Arabidopsis thaliana: one gene and its partner. The protein of the gene in region 1 interacts with the protein of each later gene in a pairwise test. Each region holds a gene or a part of one and is shown on either strand. Other genes may lie near its edges.

Region 1 (8,994 bases):
GTTGTGCAAAGGATTTGGACCTGTGGGGATAGATCGTTTCTCTTCTTCTTCCTCGTCGCCGTCCGTCTTTCTCCGAAATCTAGACGATCTTCGTCTAACTTTATTAAAATTTGACATCTCCGTGATCACAACCTTGTGATGATTCTTGTAGTATAGTGATCGAGCAACGCTCAAATTACGATTTCTTCCTGTAGTCATGAATCTTCCAGCTTGGATCGAACTTGAACGGGAGATAATGATTAATACTAACACTGTAAAGATTACAATGATTAAAACATCTCGTTTCATTGCATATCGTGAAGATAAAATTAACATAGATATCGAAAAAAGTATGTTTGAATCTCTCTCTCAAATCACGATTACTTTCTTCTTCTTCTTCTTCTCTCTGCTCTTATCGTAAGAGTTGAGGGAATTTTAGTAAAAGTAAGGAGGAGCAAAGGGGAATAAGGAGAGAAGAAATAGAATGGTCAGCAGCATTCATTACATTGATATGACTACACAATTATCATAATTGATAATTTCGTACAATAATAACAAATATTTTCGTATTATTAACTAGCAGATTATATACTACAATTTTTTTACTGATAACATTACAAATTGAAAGAATTGTTGAAAATAAGATGAAATCTTTGATAAATAGTAAGCAAAACTTCACTTATCACTATATTATATAATTTGTTATTATAAGTTTGCGAAATGATGATATAATTGAATAGTCTTGACTCTTGAGTTTACATATGTATAGTGAACATAGACAAAATTAAGTGAAATATATATAAACTAGATTTTAACCCGCGGTATACTGCGGTATAATTTATTTTTTAAAGTTAATATATATTAAAACTTGCAAATTTTATTTTTATAAAATATTTATATTTTACAGTTTATAATTGTTATTAAGTAACGCTATACAACGAATCCATGAGACAATTGTTAAAAAACTGAAGTTTTAACCCTTACTAAAACAGCATATTAATAATATTTTAAAATTTTATAAATATTGATTCAAATACATCCACCATATAACTCAATTCCAAAATAAAATCCGTTCTGTAATTTCTTTACCCATCCCGTGATTTATTTTTAAAGTAGTAATTTTAAAAATTTGAAAATTATTTATTACATATAAAAGTTTTACAAATTGTATCATTCTCTAATACATTTATATTTTATAGTTTAATTTTATATATAGTAACATTATACATACCACATAACATTTTTGGTTTTATATAACCTTTTCTAAATTAGGATGATTTGATATGTTTAATATTAGTGGTCTTAAAAAATAATAATTAAATATTTAACCCGTATTGAAACAGTGGATCAATTATATTTTACTTTTTTATTAATGTTGATTCAAAAACCCGTCCCTCCAAATAGTTATTGATTTATTAACTTATTTGTTTATAATTTGGTAACAGATAGATATTTAAATATTCGGTATATTTTGCTTCAGTTTAGGAAATCTTTGATGACCCGTCTTTAGATATAATAAGCCCTATAATTAAGAAATAAATATTGTCGTTAAATGATTTTGGTAACCTTAATTACGTCATTAAAGGATTTTGTTTTTAATTAATTTTTTTTAATGGCATTGTCATGTAATTAATTATAAAAATTAAAGTTACATTTAAAATGTACTTTCCAAATAATATAGGAAGATGAAAAACAAGTCTATAAATGAGTGTATGATTTGATTATACTGATCTAAACACAGATAAATGAACTAACTCAAAAGTAAACATTTTTAAAACGAATAACAAATAACAATTAATCGTGTCGAATAAATCCCTCCAAATTGCAAAAAGAAAACCAAACAACAACAAAAAAACAAATTATATAACCGTGAGCAATCCAAGAAGAACAAGTCCAAAGACGACGAATCTTCCGAACACAAAGTTGATCCTGAAATCATCACTTCCACTAACGATCTGAACAGGGAACAAGCAACTTCCCACGGATGCATTGACCTTGGTGATCATTGCAGCTCCTTTGAAATCGCAAGCCCTAACGTCTTGGTCTTGTATCTGGAAATACATGTTAAATGCGTATGATATGTTTTGGACTTTGGTTAGCTTACTACAAGTTGACCCGGCTTCCATCGCGGTGCAGTCCCCGTGGTAACACGCATAGTCTAGATCAGGACCAACTTCGTCTAGATTGACCGTGTCTTTGTTCACTACGCACCATTGTTTTTCCAAGTACTGCACACCTTTAGCTGCAACGGGCACCATTTGGCGTCCTTGTCCCGTGAAATCTAGCATAAACTTTGGTGTCCCATCGTATCTAAAGATTCCCCAATGTCTCTCAAAAGGCCCTGGAAGAATACTCTTCATGTCTTCGTCGAGGAAACCGAAGAGATAGACCTCTAATCTTTCAGGCCTCGTTGGAGTCCCACCGTCCTTAGCAAGTCTTTTCATAAGCCCTGCATAGAATTTCTCCGCTAGCTTCGGCGATGCATATTTGTGACCATCCGTTGGCCATCCAACCTAAAGAAAAACATAAACCAAACTCAATAACATTCTTGATAAATATATCTAATTAATAACTTGCTTGTCACGTTACCTCTCCAACGATAATCTTCATATCGTGAATCCCAGCCTTCTTCAACGCGTAAACAAGTGTGTCGTAATTGGCGTCAAACACGTTATCATAATTCTTTCCTTTGTCAGTCATTGTCTGACCATCACCGTCAAGAAAAGCGAACTCAACGGGAAAATGCTCGTTTAGGTAAAGACTAAGGAAAGGGTAAATGTTGACGGTGAAAGGTAAGTCGTTTTCGTGGAAGAAATTGACGATATCAAGCATCGTTTGTTTGACATCCTTGCGGAAATCACCTTCTGATGGCTTGTCGTTGGCTGATTGGTAAACTTCTGCGTTTTGTGGGATCGTGGCTTTCATTATATTGGTGTGTCCAGCTTCTTTTAACGCCTTGTGAATGTTCTTTAACGCTGGAAATGTTGTCTTCAAGAACGATCCGTTGTATGCAGACAAAAACGGCTCGTTCCCCACGGCTACGTACCTAGTGAATGAATTCTCGGTCAAATATACACCCAAAACAGCGACTTTTACCGGTTTGTAGGTATTTAGATGAATATAATGTCAAATTTATTATTATTATTAAATTTTAACAAGAAACTAAGAATATTAAAAATTAACAGGAAAAAAATTGTCTGAATAAATGAAATCATCTCATTGGTGCGATTTTGTTCAAATTGGAAATAAATAGCCAACCAAAATCGATCTATTTATCAAATCGGTTTATCATGTAGTCGATCAGATAGAATTATGGTAAAAACATGATTACAAAAAAATGAAAAAGTTTTGAAGGTTACTTGATGTCGACGCCACCCTTACGAATATACTGGGTCACGTTTTCTTTAACCCAATCTTTAGCATTATCGTAATCATCTGCGAGAGACTCAAGAAGGTTATTAGGGATTCCAACCATAACCTCCATGCCCGTACCAGCCAAAGCATTCATCGTCCATGAATCAGCGTCAAAAAGCTTCACTTTATTGATCTTATTGTCCTTAAGCATCTGAACAACAATGTTGGGATTCAACGGATGTGATGCGATATTGCCCCAATTCACACCGAAGCCTCCGACCAAACTAGCCAGGGTCAAAACGGTCATTATAACCGTCCCGACGTTAACGAGCATCGCTGCTCTTCCGGCCATATATATTGAGAAGGCGACGATGGATGATAATTAGGGTTTGTTTGATCTCGAAGATGTGTTTTTGTTTTCTTTTCTTTTGTCTGGTTGATGTTTTTTCTTCTTCCAGTCGGTAAAATTCTTTTTCGTGTCTTGGGTGGTCGTTGTAATAGGAATGTTTTTAGGTTGTTAGTGAAAGATTAATTAAGCTTAAAATAAATTTCTATTTTTAGAAAGAATTACAAGCTACAAAGAGGTGTGTATTTTTTTCGGAATCAGTTAGTTTTTTTTTTTTTGGTTAAGAGAGTATATCGCTGTTAATAATTGGTCGAATTGCTTATTAAACGAATACATCCTTGAAACAATGAGATAGCAGTTTATTAATATTAATTTTTGGTATATAAATCAGTCTGAACTCAAAATATGTGATTAGCTACTATTTTCATTGAAGATCCACAAATTATTAACGGTTTGGTTCTACACATAAAAAAAAAAATTCGTGGACCAAAGAAAAAAAAAACAGTCCAAAGCTTCAAAATTTTTGTCTGCAAAGCCAATAGTGGGGCCCAGGTTTTTAGATATATGGGACCCTTAAAAGTAGCATGAAAGCCACGTGGCAGAATCTCTACAGAGTAAATGCCACAAGTCTTTCTTCTTCTTCTTCTTCCCTTCACCAATAAGGCAATAATCCTTCTTCTTCTTTCTAAAATCCCTAAATTACAAATTGTTAAGAACTTGGACAATTCTATTTCTAGGGTTTGTGAGATTCGTTCGGACTCTAATGGGGAAGAAACGAAAATCCGAGGCTACGCGGCTCGATGAGGTTGATCGAACCATGTATGGCGCGTTTCGAGGCGCTGCTAATTCGCTCTCGCAGCTCTATACACATGCCATGAATCACCAACGCGTTTCTTTCCTCGCCGGTGAACGTCGCGGAATGGTCTCTGCTCTCTCTCTCTTGACCTTGTTTTATATCCAGTTTCGATTTTTGGCTTCTGGGTTCGATAGATAGAAACATAGTTGAAAAGTTTTCTTCTCGTTGCTTGTTTTGATGTTGGTTGACTATCTTGAATCGTAAATTGAGTGCTTATGTGTTGTTGGGTTTCTGTTTGCTCTCGAGATTTTAGAGTCACAGAATGAATCATGGATATTCAATGTTGTTTCTTATGTGTTGTTTTGGTAAAGTTGATCTCTTTGGCTTGTTTATGTTCGATTGATTGTCGTACGTGAGTTAATTGGAGACACACTCTGAAATTGGTTATGATCTATGAAGCTAGTTTAGATATGAGGCTAAGCAAGCAGTCTTACTGATAAAAGTTGTGGCCTTTTGATCTTGAAGTGCTTACTTTTGTTTTTTACTAGATTGATGAACTAGGATGGCTGTTCTCTTTTGGTGGCAGCTTGACGTTCTTGGCGTCATTCAATAGTGATTCATGACATTGTAGTATGAGATTTGAGGTTTGATTGGTCCATTGAGTTTTACTTTTTTCTTTCTTTTTACAGGAGAAGCTTTACCAATGGATTGTGAGACAAGAAGAACAAGGAACTAGAGTATCCACAGCTGATATTACTACCTACTTACAGGTACTTTCCTTTGAAAACAGTATCTCGTTTCTGATTACGCTCCTGCTATGTAATTGGAATTCAGATTGATTATACCTCTCTTGACTAGCTACGCATTAAAGTCCCAACGATCTTTAGTTTGATCTGAAAGTTATTCGTGTTTACCTTTTAAAACCATATATGCAGAATGCGCTTGAATATGAACCTGAGGAGACGTCGATACCACTCCCCATGCAAGAGTTTTATCAGCACCAATTCGCTCCACCAAACGTAAATACATCAGTAGCTCATGTTCCTTCAAGTCACATAGCACAACAACAACATTATGATTGTAACCAAGAGAAACTCTTGATTCCACCAAATGGTCTCTCAAGTCCGGTTCGAAGAACCCTTCAGGACTTCAACTTGTGTGAGGCTGAGTCTGGTAATAATAACTACAATCCCAACTCTACAGGTGAACACTTATCTTACTGAATAAAATCTTGTTTCATTTGCCGAAAGATGAAAAACATAAATCATTCCATTGTAAAGTCTCAATTGTTTGTGGTAAAGTATTGTCTCATGTAATACACAAAACACTTTTTCCTAATCTTTCAAAGAAGCTGGATGAATGTGAATTGACCCTTAAGATAGACAAATCTCTGATAGTGATTTTGTCGATAGGCGATATGATGATTTCATGTCTTGTCTAAAGCTCTCAAGACTTAAATGTAGACTTGTTAACAGTGATGAAAGAGAGACAAAGACTAATGATCAAAATTGAAGCCAAAACCTTCCATGTGCTCTCATGGTCCCTCTTTCAATTCAACTTGTCTGCAAAAACATTGCCCTGATGTTGATCTTCGCCGAGCTACGTGGTTTATGCTAATCCTCAGAAGAAACTTCTCGTTCAAAAATCTATGGACAGATAAAAACAAAAGTTACAGAATCACACTTTCTTCTTCTTTTGGTCATGGTGTTATCTGTACTAACAAGACATTCATCAAGGTGGTTGTCTGGAGATTGTCACTACATCTTGGCACAATGACATTTTGGCTGATTTCTATCTAGATTTTTTCCAAATTTTGTGTCTTTTTTTATTTGCCACGGTGTTTTCAAACGTAAAAGTCTAATCAACTCATCTAGCTAATCATATAAACTAGAGCTATAATAAAATTTGAAAGTGTTCGAAACAACTTGTCACTAAGAATTTATAAATAATTAGGTCCACACATAATTATTTCAGGAGTCAGGTCATAGGTCCATATACATTTCAATGGGGTATCAAAACGGTCATAATAAAATAAAGTTCAAACTTTTTAGTCCATAAATCTTATCGATCAAATCGGATCACAATACTATTTATTGACTAGAATTGTCAATTTTGTTAAAATATAACGCCGTATATGAATTTAGAGCATAGACTTTGGACTTGGATGTATACTGTTTTGTCAATTTTTTAAAAATTTCTTAAATTTGCCTCATATATATAATAATTTGGATGTAGCAAATAAATTTTAACGAGTGAAATATAAAATTGTGAACCATATTTCATTCACGTGGAATAGTAATATCAATAAAAAAAATAGTTAATTTTGGATGATTGATTTTAAATAAATGGAAAAAGAAAGTAGACCAACTCTTGTCGGAAATTATAGGTGAAGAAATTGAGTTATAGTAATGAATGGCTAATTGGGAAACACATGACACAACAAACTTTACGTCCTTTTTGCCATATTTAAGCACTCTCTATAACAATGTCCCCGACCCCTACTCCAATAATCTACTTCCCCTATTCTACTATTGTGGTCCAGTTTATACCATTATTTATAATCCAAATTTTAGTTTATGATCAAACTTTCACGTTATCAACGAGAATCGCATTCATGATTTGGCTAAGTAAGATTTTCTAAGCCTAATATTTGTATTCAAATCCTGTAAAGCTGAGATATCCTCTCTTACAATAAGTCATGAACGCACAACCCCAATAATGAATGAAGAGTACTCATGAATGAAAATGGTTCCAAAAACATGACACAACAAACTTGACGATATCATCTCTTACAAGTCTCGATACGAAGTTAGTAATATATCTCTTCGTCCACAATTGACTACATAAATATTTTTATGTATGTAGAACAATATTGAATGTAAACTAGGTTATTAATTACGAATCCATTATTTGACTTGCGTATTAATCATTTGTTTTCAATGTTCTGATAAATCATATTCCTTTGAAGGACCACAACTCCATCTCCATGATCAAAGGACCACTCGATTTTCAATAATCTCCTTGAGTTTTATCCCACTAGTCTATATGAGATAGACAACATTATAGTGAATATGGTTATAGAATCTGGATGGTTTATATCAATTTAGACATCATGTAGAAGTACATCTAAACTGTTGGTTTAAGGTCGGCTGGTAGTGTGCACCCATGATTTGGCAACATCTAAACTGGTTTGGTTAATAGATCATGGCAAGTTATTACTCCCCTAACCTCATTTCCTCTTCCTGTAATATATATTGATCTTGTATTTAAAAACATAGAAAGAAGTTAGATTTTGACAGTTTGAAAACTGAGGAAAGTGTTGAGAAAGAGAAGAAAAACGTTTTTCAAGAGATAGTTTCAAGAAATCAACTACAAACAGGCATTTATCAAAGGTGACAAGTCATTGATCTTCGTTCGTGATTTCATCCGACCTTTTGATTACCAAAGTTCCTGAATTTTTTTATTACTAAACTGGGTTAAGGTATGTGTTTCGGTTTAAATTTCTTACATATACAAATGTGAAATTAAGTTTGTAACCGAAATTCTGTTTCTCATTCAAAAGACGTGATTGCATAAATTATCATCATTTATTTGCTTTGCAAACAAGAAATATTAATTTTGTGGGGATAGATTCATGTTAATGTGGGAAGACAGAGAAATATCGACGTCAAATCCTTAGACCCATATGTCTCAATAACTTCCAAAACGTTATTCAATTCCGATATAAAATTGGGACCATAAACTGATCATAGAATCATTCATCTCTATATATAAACACAAAAAGGTTCAACAAAAGATAATTCTATATAACCAAAGAAAAAAAACTCTCTTCCAAAAATGGCAATTAGGGTTTCCCACAAGTCTTTCCTCGTCGCACTTCTTCTCATACTCTTCATTTCCTCTCCTACTCAAGGTAAATTTATAGCTAATATATATATACACACAAGCGCGCTCACCTCACGAGTTTCTAGCTATATCAAGTATAATTTGAATGAATCTTCTTCTTGTTTTTTGGTTGAATATCAAAATATATTACCCAATAATGAGTTCTTGATATATAAACATTTTGATTTTTTAGCACGAAGCTTACGAGAAGTAGTAAGGAATAGAACGCTATTGGTTGTGGAGAAGAGTCAAGAGAGTCGGAAAATAAGGCACGAAGGTGGAGGAAGTGATGTTGATGGATTGATGGATATGGATTATAATTCTGCGAACAAGAAAAGACCGATACACAATCGCTAATAAACACACATGAACTTATCGAATTCTTGTGAGATATCCTGAGATCCAAAGATATCCCGAGATTTTATCTTTTACTAAACATAAATTATAAGAAGTGAGAATGTATTTTATATAAGAAAAGAAGTGAGAATGTAAACTATTATTATTTATAGGAACATATAAATATAAACGACTTTGTATGCATGTGTACAGTATTATCTCGAGGGAAAACAGTTCTATACAATAATCATAGCTTGTGTGTGCTAGCTTTATGTATGGATTGCATCATGGTTTTCTG
Region 2 (8,330 bases), on another chromosome or scaffold:
TGTCTTCTTGTCTGTACGGAACGTTTGCGGTTTGTCAGTCAAAAACACGTGTTTAAGATTTCGCAAGAAAGAGAGATGTCTTTTGTAGTAGTAAATCTAATCAATGAATAAATGACGTAAGCAGAAACAGAGTATAAGGACAAAAGAAAGAGACAAAATAAAGTTCAACTATAATGGCTATTGGCTAAGCTTAGAGCTCCTCCTATAAGGAATCCTTATTAGTTGTTAGTAACTTAGTATTTCCTTTGTTACAAAAACAAAAACCACCAAATCAGAATGTGAAAAAACTTTATTGAACGGGGACAAAAGAATACGAAACTGAATTATCAAAACAATAATTTAAGTCCAACGTCCATAAAAACCACTAAGCTTTTCTTGCATATCTGTCAAATGTTGCGTCGTATTTGTCGTATTGTTGTTGTGATTCTCACTTTTTCACATCATTAAAATAAGTTGAATTAGATTCTTTAACATGTTCCCATCACGTGGCCAGTTTAAAAGCTACAACAGTAATTCTCTTTACTTTGCATAATGTACATTAATTTCGGATATTGAAGAAAAGCATGAGAAATAACGATATTACAAGACCTAGCCCAAGTTGCGTATTACATAATTATGCCCATAAGCTCTACTAGATAACAAATGAAATAGTTTTGAAACCAATTGATCAGATAAGCCCATACAAGGCCCATTATTTAGATGACAATTGTAATTGTAGCTTAACCAGAGCGGCTAAGTTACAAACCAAATAAAAAGGGGAATGGATAATGTTAAACCCTACACCGATCCAATGTCGGAAGAAGAACAAAACCCTGATCCAATGTCGGAAGAAAGAGAACAAAACCCGAATCCGATGATCTACCTATGTCCCGATCTAGTGGAAGAAATCGTCCTTGGATTGCCGTTGAATTCAATCCTCAGATTCAAAACGGTCTCAAAACAATGGAGATCAATCCTTGGATTGTGAGATTTTTGATGTCAATATTGGTGAATGGCGGAGATCGAGGAGCCCCCCTCCTTATTGGGTGGATCCCAGAAGGAAGTCTGCGTGTGTTCAGGGCTCCATCTACTGGTTAAATGTCAAACCTTTCCAGGTACTAGCTTTGGATCTTCACACACAAGAGTTCCATAATGTTCGCTCAAGACCAACTCACGCAACTTATGCCGACCAACTTGTCAACCTTGATGACCGTCTAGCCATAGCCTAATCGTTTTTGCATCCTCCTTGGATACTATGGATATGGACCATGGATGTTCTAAAAGATGATGGATGGACCAAGGCTTACTCCATAGATTTATCCTCCTGTAGAGATCTTACCGTGGAAAGTGCATTTTAGGCCGGTGGCGGTTTCTAAGCATGGAAATGTTTACTTGCATGACAATGAAAAGAGGTTGTTGAAATACTATCCAAAGACCAACCTCCTTCGTTGCATCTCTAAAGACACTTGGGTCATATCCCCTATGGTTGAGAATGTGCTTCCACTTCGGCCTCTAGGCTCTATTCCCAAGACATTCGGCTACGGATCCATATCTCAGGAGCTTAACCACATGCCGGGATCGAGGATGTCCAAATTTCTTAGCAGAATCCCAACTATACTGTTTACAACCACTCTAGTGTCTCAAGTTGTTTACCGCTATTTGTCTTGATGTTGACTTTATACTCGCTGAATGTTGTTATGTCTGTCAGTATATTAAGTATGAACTTGTTTGATCTTTGAAACATTTATCTTCACTCTTGCTTGTGACTTCTACATTTTCATTTTAATGGTGTTTTTAAACCTGACTGAATCGGAAAGAGCATCAGATTGAATTATACAACTTCCAAAATATAAAAGATAAACCAGTGAAGAAAAGAGTTTATTAATGATTTCCTAAAGATTAAATATTCTACATCTTACAATTTACAATCATAAACCGGATTGATTTCATTCCAAGAGAACGTAACCATTCGGATCATGGACTATCATTCTACTTCTACTAGTCGTACGTTCTATGTTCTGAGGAACTTTTTTGCAGACCTGAGCATGAGACTCAGCTTCTTGTTGAAACTTCTTCACCATTTCGTCAAGCTCTAGTTTCCTAGTCTCCACATTCTCTTCTGCCACTGGCTCCTTGAGTCCAAGGTAGATTAAACCAGCGACCACTAGCACCAAACCTGAGACGAACAGAACGACTGAGAAAAGCGCAAAGGCTTGTGGAAAATCTTTGGCACCTGGTATCCCATCTACGTTGATTCCAAATAGACCGGTCACTATTGTAATCAAAAGACCGACTCCTCCAAAGATTCCTAGGTTATGTGTGACCGTGAGGCTCTGGTCCTAATCAAGCCAAATAAAAAATTAAGATGACTTGGAGAGTTATGTACTTATGTCATCATCTCCGAATATGAAAAATCTAACCTGTAACCATGCTCGAACCGTGTTTTGCATGACATCTTGGATAGTGAATAACCGACCTCGCACGGCCTCTTGTTCATTGATCATATCGCGGGTGCTCTTTTTTATTCCTTCTAGCAAGTCTTTTGTTCTATTGCCTTTTAGTTGCTGAAGAAGCTCGAACACAATCTCTTCTCTAGCATGAAGCGACCATTTCACCCGTATAACCTAATAAATAATGAACAACAAGTCACTTGTATGAATAACATTAATCCAGATTAGCTGATCTCATCTTGTAGTCAATCAAGAAAGCCTTACCTGGGTCGACAGCCTTCTGATCTCTTGATTCAAGATTGTAGTGAACAGATTTGGGTCCTCGTACAGTCTCCTGGATATCAACAAAAATAAGTTATTCTGCTCCATCAGACATATGTCAAGGAAAGAAAATACTAAAGTAAGAGAAGGCTCAGTTAAAGTACTTATTCATAAACATCAACTCAACTTCATCAGCTGCACCAAATATATACTTCCGGAATAGCCTACATTAAGGATATTGATATCATCAATCATCACAAGGTCAAATCCAGAGAATGAAAAAGAATCAAAAGGTTCTCTCAACATTTGACTCCCATCTTTCAAACTCTAAGAATAAGATAAGACAAATAGGTTCTATCAAAGCAATACAAAGGTTTAACAATTTCATTGGCTACACCGTATAGACCATGTAAATGTGTATCCACTGCTAAAGACTTTCATAATGAATACTAAACTTCCCCAATATATACAACTTTTTTCACAACTTAATCTAGATTCAAGGGAAGGGAAATACCTATCATCCCAGCGTGCAAGGCGGCATGCAAGATGTGCTATTAGTTCATGAACGGTTCTCGGAATGCAGGCTCCACCAGCAATAAGCATTTCCTGGTAAGACAGAAGGAACCCCAGAAGACTGAAAACCAGTTTTGACTAATTGATCAACGAGTAAAGGAAAACAATGATTCAAATAAGAAGAACAAACCTGGACTTCAGTAATACCTAAGACACTAATGTTCAAGGCAAAGCCTTTAACGTGCAATGCAGTCACCAGAAAATTCTGTGCTTGCCAAGACCTTAAGACAATAGGTATGTCATCTTCTTGGATGAAAGGATCACCCGCTGATTGTCCCAACAGCTCAAACAGCAACCCACCAGCAACTCTGACAGGCACCTATCCACCAACATATTAACAAATTTCAGCTATAGAATCATAGCACAGCTCACATTACAAAGAAGCAACATAACTCAGATTTTTGTTACCTCATAGAAAATATGTTTCATTCGTTCACTAATCAGTTTGCTTTCGTCCCGCAGAGCAAGACTGACCGCGGGATGTAACCAATGCGCATTACGTAACCACGAGGCAATACCATGATGGGTAGCATCAAGATGACACCACCAAGTTGGACCAGCAAGTGGTCGTTCCCAGTAAGGAGCAGCAAGCTCAGCAACAGTGGCTTCATCCTCATCTAAGTCAATCTTTCGCAAATCCCAATTATTATCAACTTGAACAGTCTGAACAAGCTCAGAGATCCTATCCCATCCAATTCCTCGCCAATAACTCCTAGAATGTTCTTCGTCTTCACCAGTACCAAATTGATCTGTTTCACATTCCTGTTTCTTTCTATCACAACAACAACAACACTGTTTAAAAAAACACTCTACAAGAAAAAGAAAAAAAGAGACTAAGCACTAATATGTATCAACAAGTTAGTAACAATCATCATACATTCTGAGAGACGAATCTCCATGGACACTTGTGTTATTCTTACGACGACCTTGACAAAACTCGAAAGCACAGATAAGTCCATTGGTCCAGAGATTATGGTAACCTGGATTCCCGTTCTTGTGATTCGCATTCATGCTTCACTTTAAATCACAGATTTTCGATTCATATCAGTCAAATCTCGTTTTCTGAGTAAAAAAAACAATCTCGAAATTTTAGGCTGCAATTTCACGTAAGATCATCAGGAAGCACGGAATTCGAAAGAAAACTAAGCCAAAGGAGTCAAACGCAACAACCTTCCCCAGAACTTCCCTGAATTTTCTGCACCGATTCGAAGAAAGAAAACAACAATTTGACTGAGAGAGAGAGATGAATGTGGCACAGGTCGAGGACGACAAGTCAAGGCTAAGAACCAACCACACGTGTACATTTACATATTTTGGGCCTTATTGGACCTTCTCTGTAGGACCAATTTAAAAGCCCAATAAGAGTCGAGTATGGAAGGCGATAAAATACAGAGCAGTGGACGACTCTCATTTTTTGTTGTTTCTCAACTCTCGATCAGTATTTGATTTTAGTTTTGGTCCCAAAAAGGGTATAAATTTGGTTGTAAATAGCTACAAGATGTTTAAGCATTATTATGAATCTCTCTGTTAAAGAAGACAATTGTCATGAATCAAATACTTAATCATCTGTTGAGAAGTAGGCTGCCAGAAACTTTTCTTTTTTTTCTTTTTTTGCAAAATAAATTTGTTAACTATTAATCACAATTTTTGGTGACAACTTAACCATCTCCTACTCCTCACAATCATTCTTTTGGTGTCTCTACCATTTAATAATTCACCAAAATCTCCTTACTTAAACTCACAAACTCCTCACAAATTTTCTGAATCTTTCAGTTGAACATATAACAACATTCATAACAATGGCTGGAGGTACAGCTCTAACTCCAACCTCTGTAGGATCCAAGTCTGTTCCAATGAGGAACCATGAAGCAACAGAGAGAGGCAACACCAACAACAACCTGAGAGCATTACCCAAAGCCGTCCAACCGGTTTCATCAATCGAAGGAGAGATGGCTAAGAGGCCACGTGGCAGACCCGCTGGCTCCAAGAACAAACCCAAACCACCAATCATTGTGACTCACGACAGTCCAAATTCCCTCAGAGCTAACGCCGTTGAGATCAGCTCAGGTTGTGACATCTGTGAGACTTTATCGGATTTTGCAAGAAGGAAACAGAGAGGTCTCTGCATTCTCAGTGCCAATGGTTGTGTCACCAATGTGACATTAAGGCAACCAGCTTCATCAGGAGCAATTGTCACATTACACGGACGTTACGAGATCCTCTCATTGCTTGGATCAATCTTGCCTCCACCAGCACCACTTGGAATAACTGGTCTGACCATTTACTTAGCCGGACCTCAAGGACAGGTTGTTGGTGGAGGAGTGGTTGGTGGGCTAATCGCATCTGGTCCTGTTGTTCTCATGGCTGCATCTTTCATGAATGCTGTTTTTGATCGTCTTCCTATGGATGATGATGAAGCTGCCTCTATGCAGAACCAGCAGTACTACCAGAATGGAAGATCCCGTCCTTTAGATGACATTCATGGACTGCCTCAAAATCTGCTCACTAATGGAAACTCGGCTTCTGATATCTACTCTTGGGGGCCTGCGCAGCGTGTCATGTCGAAACCTTAATACTACTGCTCTAATCTCCACGTTTCATCATATCAAATGCCTTAATCTTATTATCTCATTTACCTTGGAATCAAAGATAAATGTGTCTGTAGGTTGAGAGAGAACCGTAAGTCTGGTTAAGAAACTGAAGCTTATCTCCCTTTGTAGTTTGTACCTGCAACAGTAAAAAGAAAAAACTGAAAAAAGCAAAAGTAAATGATTATGAATTTTAAGCACAATCCTCTAATTTAATACGAAAATATTACAATATTTTTATCCTTGATCCAAAGTGAATGTTGGCCATTAATAGCAGAACATGTGAAGAATCATACAAACTGGTGATTTCTCTTTACCTGTGTGATACCAATTGCAGTTGCACCGTTCCAGCAATTATTTAGGAAACTGAGCTAGCAACCAACTTCTGATTTTACTCCACTCTCATCCCAGTTTCAACATGTTATATAATCTGTAAATCTCTAGAGGATTTTTGAGGGTTTCACTAACAAGATACAAACTCTTGACGTTTCAGATATCTGGGGATTAAGGAAATAAACGCGGTTTCTCATGTTTATGATTGGGTACTTTCATGAGCAATGCCAAAAACATTAGTACGTCTATCACCTTAAACATCATAGCCTATTTCCCTAAATCCCTATTTCATTATCTAACTACCTTGAATTAAAATCAGTACTTCTGTGGGTAGAATAACATGTTTGGTGATGCTGAAGCTAATCGTTATGTACTTATATCTAGCCAGTGAAGACGAAAATATGTGAAAGTTTTCTCCTTGCACCTCACGGAAAACTTAGTAGATAAATCACAAACACATTAAAACTGACATCGAATGATAAACTAACCTTCAAGCACAAACTTCCAAACTTTTCTGGATTTGGATCAATAACTTGTGCTGTGCGTTTCCAAACCAACATTCTCGATGAAGTTTCTTTGAAAGATTCCGTTTAGGACGCTTTCCTGTAATGATCACACACAACAGAGGCACTATACATGGTCAGTGTAAACTGCATAGCATGTCATGGCATTAATTAGAGATAAAGACATATAATCATGCCTGTTATAAATTTCAATAGTTGGTTCAACACATGCATAGGCTTTAAATACGTCTCCAGGCAATGATATAAATACATGCAAATGTACATGATAGACAACAAATCATCATCATCAAATATAATCATCACCAGTTTCTCCATTTATTTTTCTACCAAAAAGCAAGAAATTTCTCAGAAAATGAAGACGAAGATGTTAATAACCCTCTTTGCACTAGTTTCAGTAGCAGGAACATCAGAAGCGACTGGTACACTTGCTGCACAGCAGAACACAAGCATTATACCTACATACACACTCTGGTGCATGGAAAATCCATATGCCTACTTTAGAAGAGTGATTTCGAGCCTAAAATGGGCTTGCAAAAATGGTGCTGATTGCTCACCATTGGAAAAGGGTGGCCGTTGTCAAGACCTCGACAATTACAGAAGCCAAGCTTCTTATGCATTCAATGACTATTACCAGAAGAATCCTATACCCAGAAACTGCGATTTCAATGGTGCTGCTGTGCTTACAGTTCAGGACCCAAGTAATACTAAACACTTTACATTCGAAAAAATAAAACCAACCTCTGATCAAAATTCCTAGAGTTCCATTGTGATAGTGTCTATATACGTCAGAACTGATTTTTCATAATCATCTTCAATTTGTGATTGTTGTTCTTCTTCTTATATCTGTGAACTTTGATTGCAGGCACTCCAACGTGTAAGTTTCCATCTAACAGGTGAGCATAAGATTCATTTTTTTTTTTCCATTTCGTTAACCTTCCGGAAGAAAAACACAGTAGATATAATTTATATAAATCAATTTTTCAGCACTGGTCCATACCCACTGACTTCTTCAGTAACAAGAACTGCAACTCCAAGCCTACGAAGCTTCTTTTGGGGTTTTGTATTCACATACCTGGCTTATAGTGCTGCTCAGATAGCTTGACCTAGAAGAAAACTGTAGAACAGGACAATCAAGGTGTGGTTTTACGAGAAGAAATATTTTGTATAAATAACAATATGATAAATTAGTATAATACCTAAAATGATATCTTCCGCTACATCTCCAAAACTATCAAATTGCTTATTTCTCTGCCAGATAAGTGAAACCAATCCTAGTTGTAGCATCAAACAATTCAGCGAAACCTGATTTAATTGTAGAGACATCCCAGTTTAAGATATCGAGTAAACTGTAAATCTCTGCGGATTTAGGATGCGTTCCCCCACAAGATATAAACTCATGAACTTCAAAATCCACTTCAATCGAACTGCAGCCAACTTCTTTCTCCATTTGTCTTTCCTTCATCAAAAGCCTCTGCTCAACTGCCTCTTCGAACAAGCCATAAGAAGCATAAGCATTAGACAAGAGAACATAACCACACGTTTCATCTGGATCGAGCTTCTTCAAACATTTTGCTGCTCGTTTAGCCATCTCAACATTACCGATTTTCCTGCAGGCAGAAAGC

The links.
Region 2: the proteins of AT5G64780 (region 1) and AT2G42940 interact in a two-hybrid assay, tested with the Arabidopsis thaliana proteins (one large-scale study listed by BioGRID).

What each region holds. Positions count from the first base shown.
Region 1 is NC_003076.8:25,897,404-25,906,397, reverse strand, and holds AT5G64780 (holocarboxylase synthetase), read left to right. Parts: upstream 1-4,270; 5' UTR 4,271-4,442; coding exon 4,443-4,601; intron 4,602-5,164; coding exon 5,165-5,245; intron 5,246-5,410; coding exon 5,411-5,698; 3' UTR 5,699-5,986; downstream 5,987-8,994. Other genes in the region: CLE21 (CLAVATA3/ESR-RELATED 21), read right to left, coding at 1-315; AT5G64790 (O-Glycosyl hydrolases family 17 protein), read right to left, coding at 1,839-2,492, 2,569-3,025, 3,339-3,685; RGF9 (root meristem growth factor), read left to right, coding at 8,313-8,388, 8,554-8,717.
Region 2 is NC_003071.7:17,860,003-17,868,332, reverse strand, and holds AT2G42940 (Putative AT-hook DNA-binding family protein), read left to right. Parts: upstream 1-4,876; 5' UTR 4,877-5,062; coding exon 5,063-5,836; 3' UTR 5,837-6,079; downstream 6,080-8,330. Other genes in the region: AT2G42955 (F-box/LRR protein), read left to right, coding at 761-931, 1,059-1,191, 1,310-1,647; AT2G42950 (Magnesium transporter CorA-like family protein), read right to left, coding at 1,926-2,318, 2,400-2,603, 2,694-2,763, 2,855-2,914, 3,205-3,296, 3,394-3,582, 3,672-4,035, 4,141-4,274; AT2G42930 (Carbohydrate-binding X8 domain superfamily protein), read left to right, coding at 7,061-7,465; AT2G42920 (Pentatricopeptide repeat (PPR-like) superfamily protein), read right to left, coding at 7,949-8,330. UniProt on the Arabidopsis thaliana protein: Transcription factor that specifically binds AT-rich DNA sequences related to the nuclear matrix attachment regions (MARs).